Linked DNA regions of Bombyx mori. The protein of the gene in region 1 interacts with the protein of each later gene in a biochemical or structural test. Links are inferred from orthologs where the notes say so. Each region holds a gene or a part of one and is shown in the gene's direction. Other genes may lie near its edges. The genes, in order: DNA topoisomerase I, mitochondrial; serine/arginine-rich splicing factor 1A; ubiquitin-conjugating enzyme E2.

Region 1 (4,342 bases):
ATCAGCCCGCTGAATATCTCGCCGGATCTTCTTAGCGGATCACGATTCCAATCCAGTAGCAGATTCAATCGCGGAGCAGCTACTCATGAGTTTTTAGGTCTCCTTTGGAGACGTTCAGGTAGCTGTTAGCAAATCCCAACCCTTCTGGCTTACTCGCCCACTTGTCGTGGTGAAACTGAAAAGGCTTCAAGGCCACCAGTAATCCTTCCTGCACAAAAATAATTAATGAGAATTGCCCCTATGTTTTTGCATTACATTGCATGATTACATTGCTCCATATAGGTAAACTGCACAAGCTAGTCTGTACAGTAAGCACCAATAGATTCAATTTTATTATAAGTCTAATTACCACAAAAAAAAATAGTAAAAAAAGTCAAACAGACAATGTTAAGAATAAAATGATAATAGAAATTAAATCGTAAAAGTAGTTTAATGATATCTACGACTCAAGAAAGCGCTACACGATAACCCTCTTATCGTGACCGCCGCTAGTTAGATATACAAAATATGTATATCCGACCCAAGCGATAGGACAACGCAAAGTCATCGTAGCCCGAAACGTGTCTTGTCGGATCCCCGGATCCACTCTCGGTGCTTTTAGGTCCCTCAAGCACCGGTTACTGTCGTTACGACGAAGAGTTCGACGAGCGAACTAACCCATAGAAACAGTCCACTGAGTTTCTTGCCGGATCTTCTCATTGGGTCGCGATTCTGATCGAGTGGTAGATTCTGCAAAGCACTGCACTTGGTAGGGCTAGTGTTGACAAATTCTCCCGAACACAGCTAGGCTACTCTTGGCAGAGTAGTCGTAGCTGTCGTAGCGGTGGCTTTCGTAGTGCTGGTGATGACGACAATGCAGCCCGTGGGGGTAGACATCGAGGTATTCTGCCTTCTACAAGGCCATTTACGAAAAGTATCTCCACGGTGTCCTCCTTTCTGGAGATGTGCCCAAAGAACTTGAGAATTCGTAGCTGAGCAGTCGACGAGTCTTTTTTTGTATACAAAGTTCTTTGCGAACAACGAACAAGAAGAGAAAACTTGCGATAGCCGAAGAAAATACTAGTGTCGAGAAGCTGATAGTTTACATAAAATCAAGATTGTTAATAAATAATTAATAATAATAATAATAATAGCCTTTTTATTCCTAAACATAGGGTTACAAGAGGTCCCTAAGTTCGGTGTGCCTTTTGGCATAGGCCTCCTCCAATTCCTTCCAATCCAATAAATAATTATCGACAATCTTATATCTTATATTTATTGACAATCTTGGTTTGTGAAGTTTACAGAAATCTTCTATAAAGTTATGAATTGGTTTAAAGTTACGATAGCATGCATGCAGATCTTCAATTATTGACATTTAAGCATGTACAAATAGACGTAGTAATTTTAAAGTGAGCATTACCCACGGTACCGTAATTATAGTTTCTCTACATACGCAGAACCTACTATACTATTATTACACATATTCTGCGTCTGGAAGTTACACGAATTTCGTATAATGACTAAGTATCCAAGTATAAATACTTTAGATTGAATCTTAGATGAAGGCTTAGATGGCATACATTCCATTGCCATTTCAGTTTTTTAAAAAGCTGAACTGTCAACTTGAAGTTCGTACAAACCAGAACATTGAACCAAGCGGAGTGAAGTTCCCTTTTATCGTATGAGCAACGACGCATGCGCATTCGTCACTTCTGGACACTTAGATTTTGCGCTCGTTTTCGGCCGGCCTCATGTAATCTTATTCGAACAAACGTTGTGATACGTAGGCAAAATGAGTGTCGAAAACCCGGCCAGCGATAATGATTGTGAATCTGTAAGTTATTATTTAGACTTGTTATTATGATATTAATCGTTCTACGTATTCAATAAGCTTCTATTGCTTAAGGTTTCGTGTCCTTACTGATGAAAATTACAACACGAAGCAAAATTTTCTAAGTCCCAATATGGCGTCAACTATAATGTTCAAGCAGAAAGAACGTAGCGTCGTTTGACACGCCAAGAATAAATGTGAAAAAAAAACACAAACTGCCACATAGCGTCTTTTCTAAAATATGAACAAATATACATTTGGGGTTAATGTTATGTTAAAAATTAAGAGAAATTTCGATCTCTTTCACAGGGAAAGGTAAATGGAAATAAAAATGAACACGTGAACGGCATGCATAACGGCTACAGTAGCTCTGACAAACACAAATCAAGCCACAAATCTTCTAGCAAAGACAAGCATCGCGACAAAGATCGCGATCACAAGGGCTCGTCCAAGCACAGCAGCTCTAGCAGGTAAGCATTCTAGAATATTCTGTATGAAATTAACGTTTTCACTATGAAATATTGTAAGTTTTATAAGTATTGTATTTAAAGAGACAAGGACAAAGACAAACACTCAAGCAGTAAAGAGCACAGCAGCTCCCATAAATCTTCCAGCAAAGATAAAGAACACAACAGTGAAAAGAGAGACAGAAGTGATAAAGATCACAGTAGCAGAGATAAAGAACGTAGTGACAAAGATAAACACCGCAGTGACAAGGACAAACATAGAGAAAAATCAAAAAGTGACAAAGATAGGCGTGATGAAAAAGACAAGAATAAAAGCAGTTCAGATAGCAAAAAGACATCATCATCATCATCATCCAGAGATAAAGAACACAAAAGCTCATCAAAGGATAAAGATCATAAATCTAAAAGTAAAGATGAAAAAGATAAAGATCGACACAGGAGTGACAAGGATAAACACCATAGGGACAAAGATAAGCACTCCAGTTCAAAAGATAAAAACAGGTATATATAGACAAGTATTTTTAATTAGAATTTAAAACTGACAGTATCCAGTCATATATATTTGACACCATCAATAGTTGTCAAAAGTCAGTAACATTTGGTTAAAAATTTTTGTAATGAATGCACCTGCATCTTAAACTACAAATTGAATGTATTTTGCAATTTTGGTTTCAGCTCCAGCAAGAACAAGGAGAAAAGTTCAAGTGAAAGAAATGAAAAGATAAAATCTGAGTCTCAGAATGTCATAAAAGATGAACCTATGGAGGTGTGTATGTGGGCTATTATTTTCTTATTGCATTCCAACATTGTCTGAAAAGCATAAATATAAAATCATTCTCCAAATATGCACTAAACCCTATAGTACTGCCATTCTCATAATGAGTTTTTTTGGTAGTTGTCTATTTATTTGGATGCCATTGTCCATGAGGGCCAAAATAATAATTTAGTTTTTTATTGTTAAGGTGGATCAACCAGTCTTAAAACGTGAACAAGATGATAGTGATGAAGGATATGCTGGAGCTAACACAACTGTCTCATCTTGTGACTACTCTATGTCCCAATTTAAAGATGAGCCACTTTCTGAACTGCCTCCAGATGATGAAAGTGAAGAGGATATACCACTAGTAAGTTGAATTCAAGAATAATCCATTTATACTTAATAACTACCAACTTAATACCCAAATTTATTATAATATTAATTTTTTTACTCATCCTTGTCCTTATTTCCTATTTTTATCATACAGTAACAGTTCTTATTTTTACTAAATATATAGTTATCTAATAAAATGAATATATTATTTTATAGACTGCACGAAAAGCTAAAAAACGCCATGTTAGTGATGGTGAAGAAGACATTCCATTACTACAAAGAAAGAAATCTAAGAAAAAAGTAAAAAAAGGTAAAAGTCTTAACATTATTCTAGAAATTAATTATAAACAGCTTTTTGAACCTTTTGGAAATGTTTACAGAAGAGACTTATGAAGATTATGATGATTATGAAGAAGATGAAAAACCTAAAAAGAAAAAGAAGAGTTCTGAAAAAACTAAATCAGTTAAGGTGAAATCTGAGCCCATAGATGATGGTATCAGTCCCAATAAACGGAAGAAAAAACAAGACACAGAAACAGAACAAGTCTGGAAATGGTAATTAAAGGCTATTTTTTGCTCATTAAAATATTGTAAACGATTATTTATAGTCTGACATTGCCAAATTATCCAATGTTTTGTCTACTTTTAAAACCAATAATATCACAAGGCAAACTTTAATTTGTTGTGACTTCAGATTGCTCAGTAGAACTTTTTTAACATTAAATATTTAATCTTAAACTCTGTGAAGTAACTGCTTTAGTGACACTTCATATCTAATTTCTACCAATAGATGGCGTGACATATCCAACCTAATTCAAGCATTGTCAGAAATAATTTGTCACATAACATCTTGATAGCATTTGACGTTGATAGAGGCTACCCCTCAAACATTTTAAATAATTCGAAACATAAGTGATCAAATTAAGCTGGATAAAATTCGTCAAATCATTTTTAGTTCGATATGTAATTGTG
Region 2 (4,234 bases), on another chromosome or scaffold:
GAAGATCTCCCCTTTGTCGTATATCTCTACAAACTGGTGACCTGCGACGAAACCATTGCAGCCTTCACACTTCATCATCAGCGCATCAAGAACTTCGGCTACCACAATTCTCGCAGATAAAAGCAAGTCATCGACAGTAGTCCCACAGCAAGCCAGCATCGCAGCCTCGATAGGACCATCGCAGCTGACTCACCGCGCTTCCTGCTCCTACGGCACGCACCTACACTGCCTCATCACGCAGCATTCAAGCTCAGTCTCGACTCACCGCAGACTACGAGCAGCACTAGCGACAATCACGCAGCAATTCAAGCTCAGCCTCGACTCACCGCAGGCTTCGAGCAGCACTGGCCCTTGCAAGCTAATCTCAGCATGGACAACGCTAACTAAAAATGACACGACCTCCAGTCTCGGAGGGGAGTGATGTGGCGGGTAGCCATCATACAACGCAAGATAATTGACAGATGTCTGAATCTCGCTTACGACATTTTCAAGTTAAAGCGCATATATACAAGTTCCGAACAACAGCATTCGGACCGTCGGTCTACCGAGCAATATCACCAGCTCGATGGAAGATCTTCCCTCGGTCGTTAAGCTTCCCCTACACTAATTTCACCAGGACAGTTAGGTGAGCAAAAGCGCAGCCAGGAGGGGTGGGATTACTTAACAGCTGCCCGAGCGCCTCCGAAGGAGACTTATCAACTCAAGAGTAGCTGCTTTGACAGCTGATCCGACGAGAAACTCAGCGGGCTGATACATAGATTAGGTTGCACGTCGAACTCTTTGTCGAGTTCTATGAGTACGGTTACCGGGGTCCCTGAGCCTGCTACTAGTGTTAGAGCTGAAGGCTTCTAATGCAAAGGTTATTGGATCTGATGGATCCGTAAGGACGTGTCTAGGGCATCAACGGTGACTGGCTCCTGCATGATTAGAATTCGAGGAGTAATCAACGGTGGCACCAATAAGGCGATTATCATGACGCATAGCCTTATTGTATTATTTATTTTATTTTATTTTATTTAATCCATTCAAGAAGATGACACCTTAAGCACAAGTTCAAGTACAAGTTCTCTAGTAAGTTCCTACCTGATTTTATATGGGAAAACCCATACTTTAATGTTACTAACATAACTCGAAACTGCCAATATTGATCAGCCTATATATTAATTTCCATTTAACAAAAGTGAAGGGCAGCGGGCTCGAAATTAGAAAGACCTATAAAACACGCTATAGGTACTGATTTCGACACAGAAACTTCCGGACAAGCAGGAAAGAATGATAAGTGTCCTGATCCTGATATCACCAAAAGCAAACTACATTTCAGATTAATTATTCAATTTTATGGTGTTTAGTTTTAAAATGTGCCGGACGACTACATACACATCTTTGTATAAATCCTTTCACACGGACTTTTGTAAAAATTATACAGCCACATATTTATAATCTATGACCAGGTTTTTCCACTTCCGTTTTCATGATTATCGTTTTCTTTTCTGTCAAATCCACCGTGATCCAAAATCGGAACATTGACATTTGACGCCATATTGCCCGACTTTCAATTACACACAGTAAAGCGTCGGATTGGTGAAATTAGTCGATGAAGCCAACATAATAATAAGTAAACGTTTAAGCAATAGTAATATTCTTTAGCTATAATGTCGGGTGGAAGCAGTAGCAACAGAAATGAGTGTCGTATATATGTTGGAAACTTACCACCGGACATAAGGACAAAGGATATTCAAGACTTGTTTTACAAGTTCGGAAAAGTAACGTTCGTTGACCTAAAGAACAGAAAAGGTCCGCCATTCGCGTTCGTGGAATTTGAGGATCCCAGGTGAGTGTTGAATTCGAAAAGAGAAACGGGCTATCTATATTACTAACGTTGTCCATGTCTGAGTAGCGATAATCATCCCGTGTCAGGTGGACGGAATGTTCAGCTGCCTTTGAAGAAGATTTAAAAGAGCGCATACGTTATGCCGCATACACCGCTATCTGTACCCGACTATAGCGAAATGAACAATTTTATTCAGCGTTAATATAATTTTCCACACCACAGATACAGATACAGATTAAGTAAACATTTTTACTGATAAATGAAAATGGGACTTTAAATTAACAATTAATCATTTATTATTTTATGATTAATTGACAACTAATTAGTTTAAAAGTTGGCACATATTAAAATATATGAAGGGTGGCACAGATTTAATAGTCTGCCAGAGCACCTGTATCCATAAATCTAATAATATTCACCTATGATTTCTAATTATTTCAGAAAAATTAAAATCAATAAAATTTGCTGATTATTGCCAATTATATAAAATTATAACACACATATAAACACACAACATATTAAATTAAAATTACACAATGAGTGATGTCAAAACTGTGTGTGATTGGTTCTTTTATTAGATATGTCCACTTCATGGTGAGTTGTTACTGTCACTAATGAACGTCAAGAATACCAGGTGCACAGCTCAGAGCCTGCCTTGTTTCACTCCTAGTAGAATATACAGTCATATCTACCTAAATTAATCTGAGACAAGTTATTTTAATAAAATCTATTTTGGAATTCAGAGATGCAGATGATGCAGTAAGAGCCAGGGATGGTTACGACTATGATGGGTACCGTCTTCGAGTCGAGTTCCCTCGTGGAGGTGGAGGTGGAGGCTCTCGTGGTTCTCGAGGCGGTGGTGACCGTTGGGGTGGACGAGGGGCAGCACGTGGTCCGCCCGCTCGACGCTCTGAATACCGCGTGCTCGTTACCGGCTTACCGCCCTCGGGTTCCTGGCAGGACCTCAAAGACCATATGCGAGAGGCCGGCGACGTATGCTTTGCAGACACCTTTAAAGATGGATCTGGTGTTGTGGAATTTTTGAGGCATGAAGATATGAAGTATGCTGTTAAAAAGTTAGATGATTCTAGATTTAGGAGTCATGAGGTTAGTTTCTTCCACTTTATTTGAAAATAATTATAAACATAACCTGTAATGTGAAAGAACAGTACTGTTGGTGGATTGTCCCAAATTTTTTATCATTGTTACCCAACGTGGACATAAAAGTTTCAAGATAATCAATTGTGTCAAATACTTTTATAGTTTAATTTGAATTAGTTAGAAGTTTAAGGCTCATGAAGGAGAAATTAAACCATGGGATAGTGCTTAAACTGTTCATTTACAAATAGCTGCTCAAAATCAACAACTGTTATTTTGTGTCAAACTCAGTAGATATCTATAATGTCCAAAATTGCATTCTGTAAAACTCAAGTAAATAAAGTAAGCAAAACAAACTTTTGAATTCTTTAGCTAGGTTGGACTAAGCTGTCTCCTTTTTCTGATTATTTGCAATACCAGTTTTTTTTTTTTTTTTTTTCAATGTTTTTTTCTGCCCATACTTGTTACCAATTTGTTTACTGAATTATAAAAAATGAGATTGTCCTTTCAACATACAGTTAAATATTTTTTTTAAAAAACAATTCACTTGTCAATTATGGTAAAGTAATTTCAGTTTGAGAAAAACTGATATGAGATTGAAAAGAACAAATGGAATGTAAAATGAGATGTGAGGCAACAAAACATCATCTCAGCTTAAGTAAACTGAGTTTGCTTTCATATTGATATTACAAAAGAAATTTGAACCATGGATCAAATTTGAACCATACTTTCTTAATCTTGATATTACAGACCTTATGGTCATAGATGATGAAGATTATAAAATGAATGAAAAGAAAGCTATATTACACTGTAAAAGCGTTTTACAATCAACTCAAGAAATTTAAAAAGCAAGCAGTGTCATGTAGTGCAAGATTTAGACGTCTATTAAATATTCATTTCCAGGGTGAGGTGACATATATACGTGTGAAGGAAGACTATGGCGGTGGCGGCGGTGGCGGTGGTGGCGGCGGCGGTGACAGGTACCACTACATACCATTACTACATTAACTGACTACTATATCATTTAATTGGCCAAATATATTGATTAAACTAGCTGACCCGGCAGACTTCGTAGTGCCTCAATCGATAAATAAAAGACCTAACTATTGTATAAAATAAACTTAAAACAAACAAAAGGAATCCGTCCAACGGGGGACACATCAAAGGAAAAACAAAATTTTATTTTACCTTTTAAACGTCTGGACTTCCACAAATAATTCAAGACCAAAATTAGCCAAATCGGTCCAACCGTTCTCGAGTTTTAGCGAGACTAACAAACAGCAATTCATTTTTATATATATCGAT
Region 3 (3,481 bases), on another chromosome or scaffold:
CCTCGACAGAAGGATACCTAGTCGGGAGTGGGATTCAGGCGATAAAAACACAAGGTATTTATTATAATTTGGTTATCTATGATGGTATCGATATGTGTGTCTCTGTTCCAATCAGCGAAAAACTAATTTTTTGTTCGTAAAACCTAACCTTCCTAATTCGCGGCAGTAGCACTATCACAAGCTTTTTGCAACAATGACAGCATTTTGTTTGCAGTAAATGGTGGGCTCAGTGGTGGATTTACACTAGGGGCAGTCGCGTAGTCGGGGCAAGTGCCCAGTGCGGCAATTTTTTAGGGCGGCAAAATTTTGGAAGTAAAATTTTTGAAATTAATTCTATTAATTAATCATTTTCTGTTTAATTGATAATACAAAAAATTGAATTCATCCATTATTTGTGAATTATAATTTTGGCACTTTAGGTAAAAATTCATAATCAAAATTATTTAGTCAATTTATTTCCTTGAACATTTAAAATAATAATCGATTTTTCCATTTTCTGGACTTAAAGAAATTTAATTTTTTTTTTCATTTAATATTTATGAGTCACCCTTAGTGCAAAATTTATAATTGTTAGAAAAAAAACAAATATTTATTTATGTTTTTGGAATATATAACATATGATAAAGTTTCTGCAAGAAATTACTTATTTAATTTTGAAAAAAATAGTTATAAACTATAATTTTTGGTAAAATTCCAGTATTGGGGCGGATTTTTTGCCCAGGAGCGGAGTCTAAATCCGGCCCTAAGTGGGTCGATATTTTTACGAGCCGCAATCTAAAATAAAGGTTTACGTGTTAATATAGCAACAGATAAAATATTAAAATAGGTAAAAATAAATTATTAAATACATTTATTTAAATCCTTACCTTTAATTTGCGCCCAAATAGATTCTATGGCATTGCATTGACAATAGTAGGGTGGAAGGCGCATTACATTGTGTCCGGCTTCCTTAGCCATTTCGTCCAATACCTATTTTGGTCTTACAATTTTCGTTAACACGGAGTCATTCCTAAGTCGCAAAAGTAATTTTAATTGTGGTATCTTCATTTGCAAAAAAAGATAAAAGAGAGATTAATTGCATTTTAAAAACAGCTCATAAATATTTGTGTAATTTTTTTGAAACATTTAATTAGACTGAATTTCGGCTATCGTCGTAATTAAGACCCGTTTTTACTGCTAAAATTAAATTAATATTAAATGTCAACAGCAACACTATTAACTTCCTACAGCAGAAAAGAAAAAAAAGTGAATCGATTATTTTCATTTTTTATCTGTAGTCTATACTACAATTTTGTCGACCGCTCTGAAATTAAGGGACGCTATTTCGCGCTTTTTCATTTATTTTTATTGTAATTTCGTTCTAGTTTTAGCTCGATTATAAGTAAAATCTATCGCCCAACATTAAGAATAGCCCTTGATTGAAGCTCGGCTCATAAATCGAGTTATTTTTGTAGAAAATGTCAGGGATAGCAAGTGCACGTTTAGCTGAAGAACGGAAAGCTTGGCGTAAGGACCATCCCTTTGTAAGTTTTTGTTTGTTGAAAACACATTGATTTATGTTTTCGTAAATAAATAAGCTATTCATCTATTTCAGGGTTTTGTCGCGAGGCCTATGAAGAATCCAGATGGTTCATTGAATTTAATGACTTGGGAATGTGCGATACCTGGTAAAAAGGGGGTTAGTATTTCTATATCGTGAAAACTTCTTGTTTCTTATTGATGCAGTTTTAAAGTTATTGAGTTTAAGCATAGTAAATTACGGTAGTAGAAGTTCTAAAACTATAACCGGTTTTTCTTTTTAGACTCCATGGGAAGGTGGGCTGTATAAACTACGTATGATCTTCAAAGATGATTATCCATCAAGTCCTCCAAAATGCAAATTTGAACCACCACTGTTCCACCCCAATGTGTATCCATCAGGTACGGTGTGCTTGTCACTGCTTGATGAAGAAAAAGATTGGCGTCCAGCAATCACAATAAAGCAAATTTTGTTGGGTATTCAAGATCTTCTCAATGAGCCTAACGTAAAAGATCCAGCGCAAGCTGAAGCCTACACAATTTATTGGTAAGTTAAACATAAACATTTTCAATACCCGTATTGCATTTAAAGAACTGTTATGTTTTATAATGTTTAATTTTGTAAAAATTGAATTTTTTTGTAATATATGTATTTGTTATATTACTGAAAATATATCACGAAACTATCCACATATTGTGATACTAATATTTAATTACTGTGACCTACAAAACTTGTATGCCTCAATATTAAATAAAATTTTATTGTTACAGTCAAAATCGGCTAGAGTATGACAAGCGAGTAAGAGCGCAGGCACGTGCAATGGCTGCTGCTGAGTAAATATCAGAATGGGACAATGGAGCGTTAATGAGCTAAGCCATTGCCTAAAAAGCAGTATAAATGTGAAGACAGGAGATTAAAACAGCAACACTACGCTATTTTGGAGATTGTGCTATAACATTATCTTCATGGTATTTTCCAGTTCCAAAAGTATTTAATCCACACAGTACGCAGTGATGGTTTAAACTATAGATTTAAGTAATTTTGAAGTAAATGCAAGTTTTTAATAACAGACCAAATCAACACTATGCTAATGTTAGTTATTTTAATTCTGGAAAATTTTGAAGCCATTATGAATTCATCATTTTATGGCTAACTTGTATTTATTTATTTGTTAAGTTAATAACAGAAATGTTAACAAGCAAAAAGCATCAAAGATTTTAATTACAACCGAATATACAAACATGTTGCTGTAATTCTCAAAATATACGGTTACATTTCGAATCTATGTTATTTTAAAATATTTTTGTATCTTATGTTAGACTTAATGAACAATAAATATTTAAATTCTACAATTTACTGTGTATTTTTAAGTTAAAATTTTTTCAGATTATTTTCACAATCATTCACTATTCAAAGTCAGCGCTTTCTAATCAGCCGTTCAGAGTAACTATTTGGAAAACAAATAATTCATAACTTTATTTATTTATCAAAATGGTTAGTTGACATCAGATATTTCATTTCACATGCTGATATTCATTAAAGTTGGGAGTTAAACAAATATTTGTTTTATTCCAGCTTAAACGCAATCATTATTTAGTTTGATGACAGATATAATTAAAAATTAGCTACAAAAACCTCCATCTAGTAGTGAATAGGCACCTCAAAATACAAAAGGTGAGAGACAGGCGAACTATACGATCACGACCCAACTAGTTTTAAGTAATAACTGAAACTATTTAATATGGTATTTTCTATTATTAGAACCCATTGAACTTGCCAAATAATGCCAGGACTAACTTAGAGATATGAGTTCGAAGACTTGATTTTGTTATACGAGTTTAAGGGACGCCCACCCCATAGATTATACACTTAATAACCCATTTTCAAATCAACAACCAATTAGTCCTTTTCCGCAATTTCGAATATGCGACGGTCCCTCAACATATCGCCGCGCACTAAAAT

What was found.
Region 2: the proteins of DNA topoisomerase I, mitochondrial (region 1) and serine/arginine-rich splicing factor 1A form a complex in vitro, tested with the Homo sapiens proteins (2 studies listed by BioGRID, with this or other methods). The link is inferred for Bombyx mori from reciprocal best matches to the Homo sapiens genes TOP1 and SRSF1.
Region 3: the proteins of DNA topoisomerase I, mitochondrial (region 1) and ubiquitin-conjugating enzyme E2 form a complex in vitro, tested with the Homo sapiens proteins (2 studies listed by BioGRID, with this or other methods). The link is inferred for Bombyx mori from reciprocal best matches to the Homo sapiens genes TOP1 and UBE2I.

Annotation. Positions count from the first base shown.
Region 1 is NC_085110.1:12,999,259-13,003,600, reverse strand, and holds the start of DNA topoisomerase I, mitochondrial, read left to right. Parts: upstream 1-1,534; 5' UTR 1,535-1,774; coding exon 1,775-1,816; intron 1,817-2,122; coding exon 2,123-2,283; intron 2,284-2,364; coding exon 2,365-2,781; intron 2,782-2,955; coding exon 2,956-3,046; intron 3,047-3,242; coding exon 3,243-3,404; intron 3,405-3,586; coding exon 3,587-3,680; intron 3,681-3,750; coding exon 3,751-3,925; intron 3,926-4,096; exon of another isoform or gene 4,097-4,342. UniProt on the Homo sapiens protein: Releases the supercoiling and torsional tension of DNA introduced during the DNA replication and transcription by transiently cleaving and rejoining one strand of the DNA duplex.
Region 2 is NC_085122.1:429,900-434,133, reverse strand, and holds the start of serine/arginine-rich splicing factor 1A, read left to right. Parts: upstream 1-1,433; 5' UTR 1,434-1,652; coding exon 1,653-1,831; intron 1,832-2,574; coding exon 2,575-2,938; intron 2,939-3,832; coding exon 3,833-3,909; intron 3,910-4,234. UniProt on the Homo sapiens protein: Plays a role in preventing exon skipping, ensuring the accuracy of splicing and regulating alternative splicing.
Region 3 is NC_085114.1:7,031,721-7,035,201, forward strand, and holds ubiquitin-conjugating enzyme E2, read left to right. Parts: upstream 1-1,290; 5' UTR 1,291-1,457; coding exon 1,458-1,523; intron 1,524-1,594; coding exon 1,595-1,678; intron 1,679-1,802; coding exon 1,803-2,065; intron 2,066-2,289; coding exon 2,290-2,356; 3' UTR 2,357-2,867; downstream 2,868-3,481. UniProt on the Homo sapiens protein: Accepts the ubiquitin-like proteins SUMO1, SUMO2, SUMO3, SUMO4 and SUMO1P1/SUMO5 from the UBLE1A-UBLE1B E1 complex and catalyzes their covalent attachment to other proteins with the help of an E3 ligase such as RANBP2, CBX4 and ZNF451.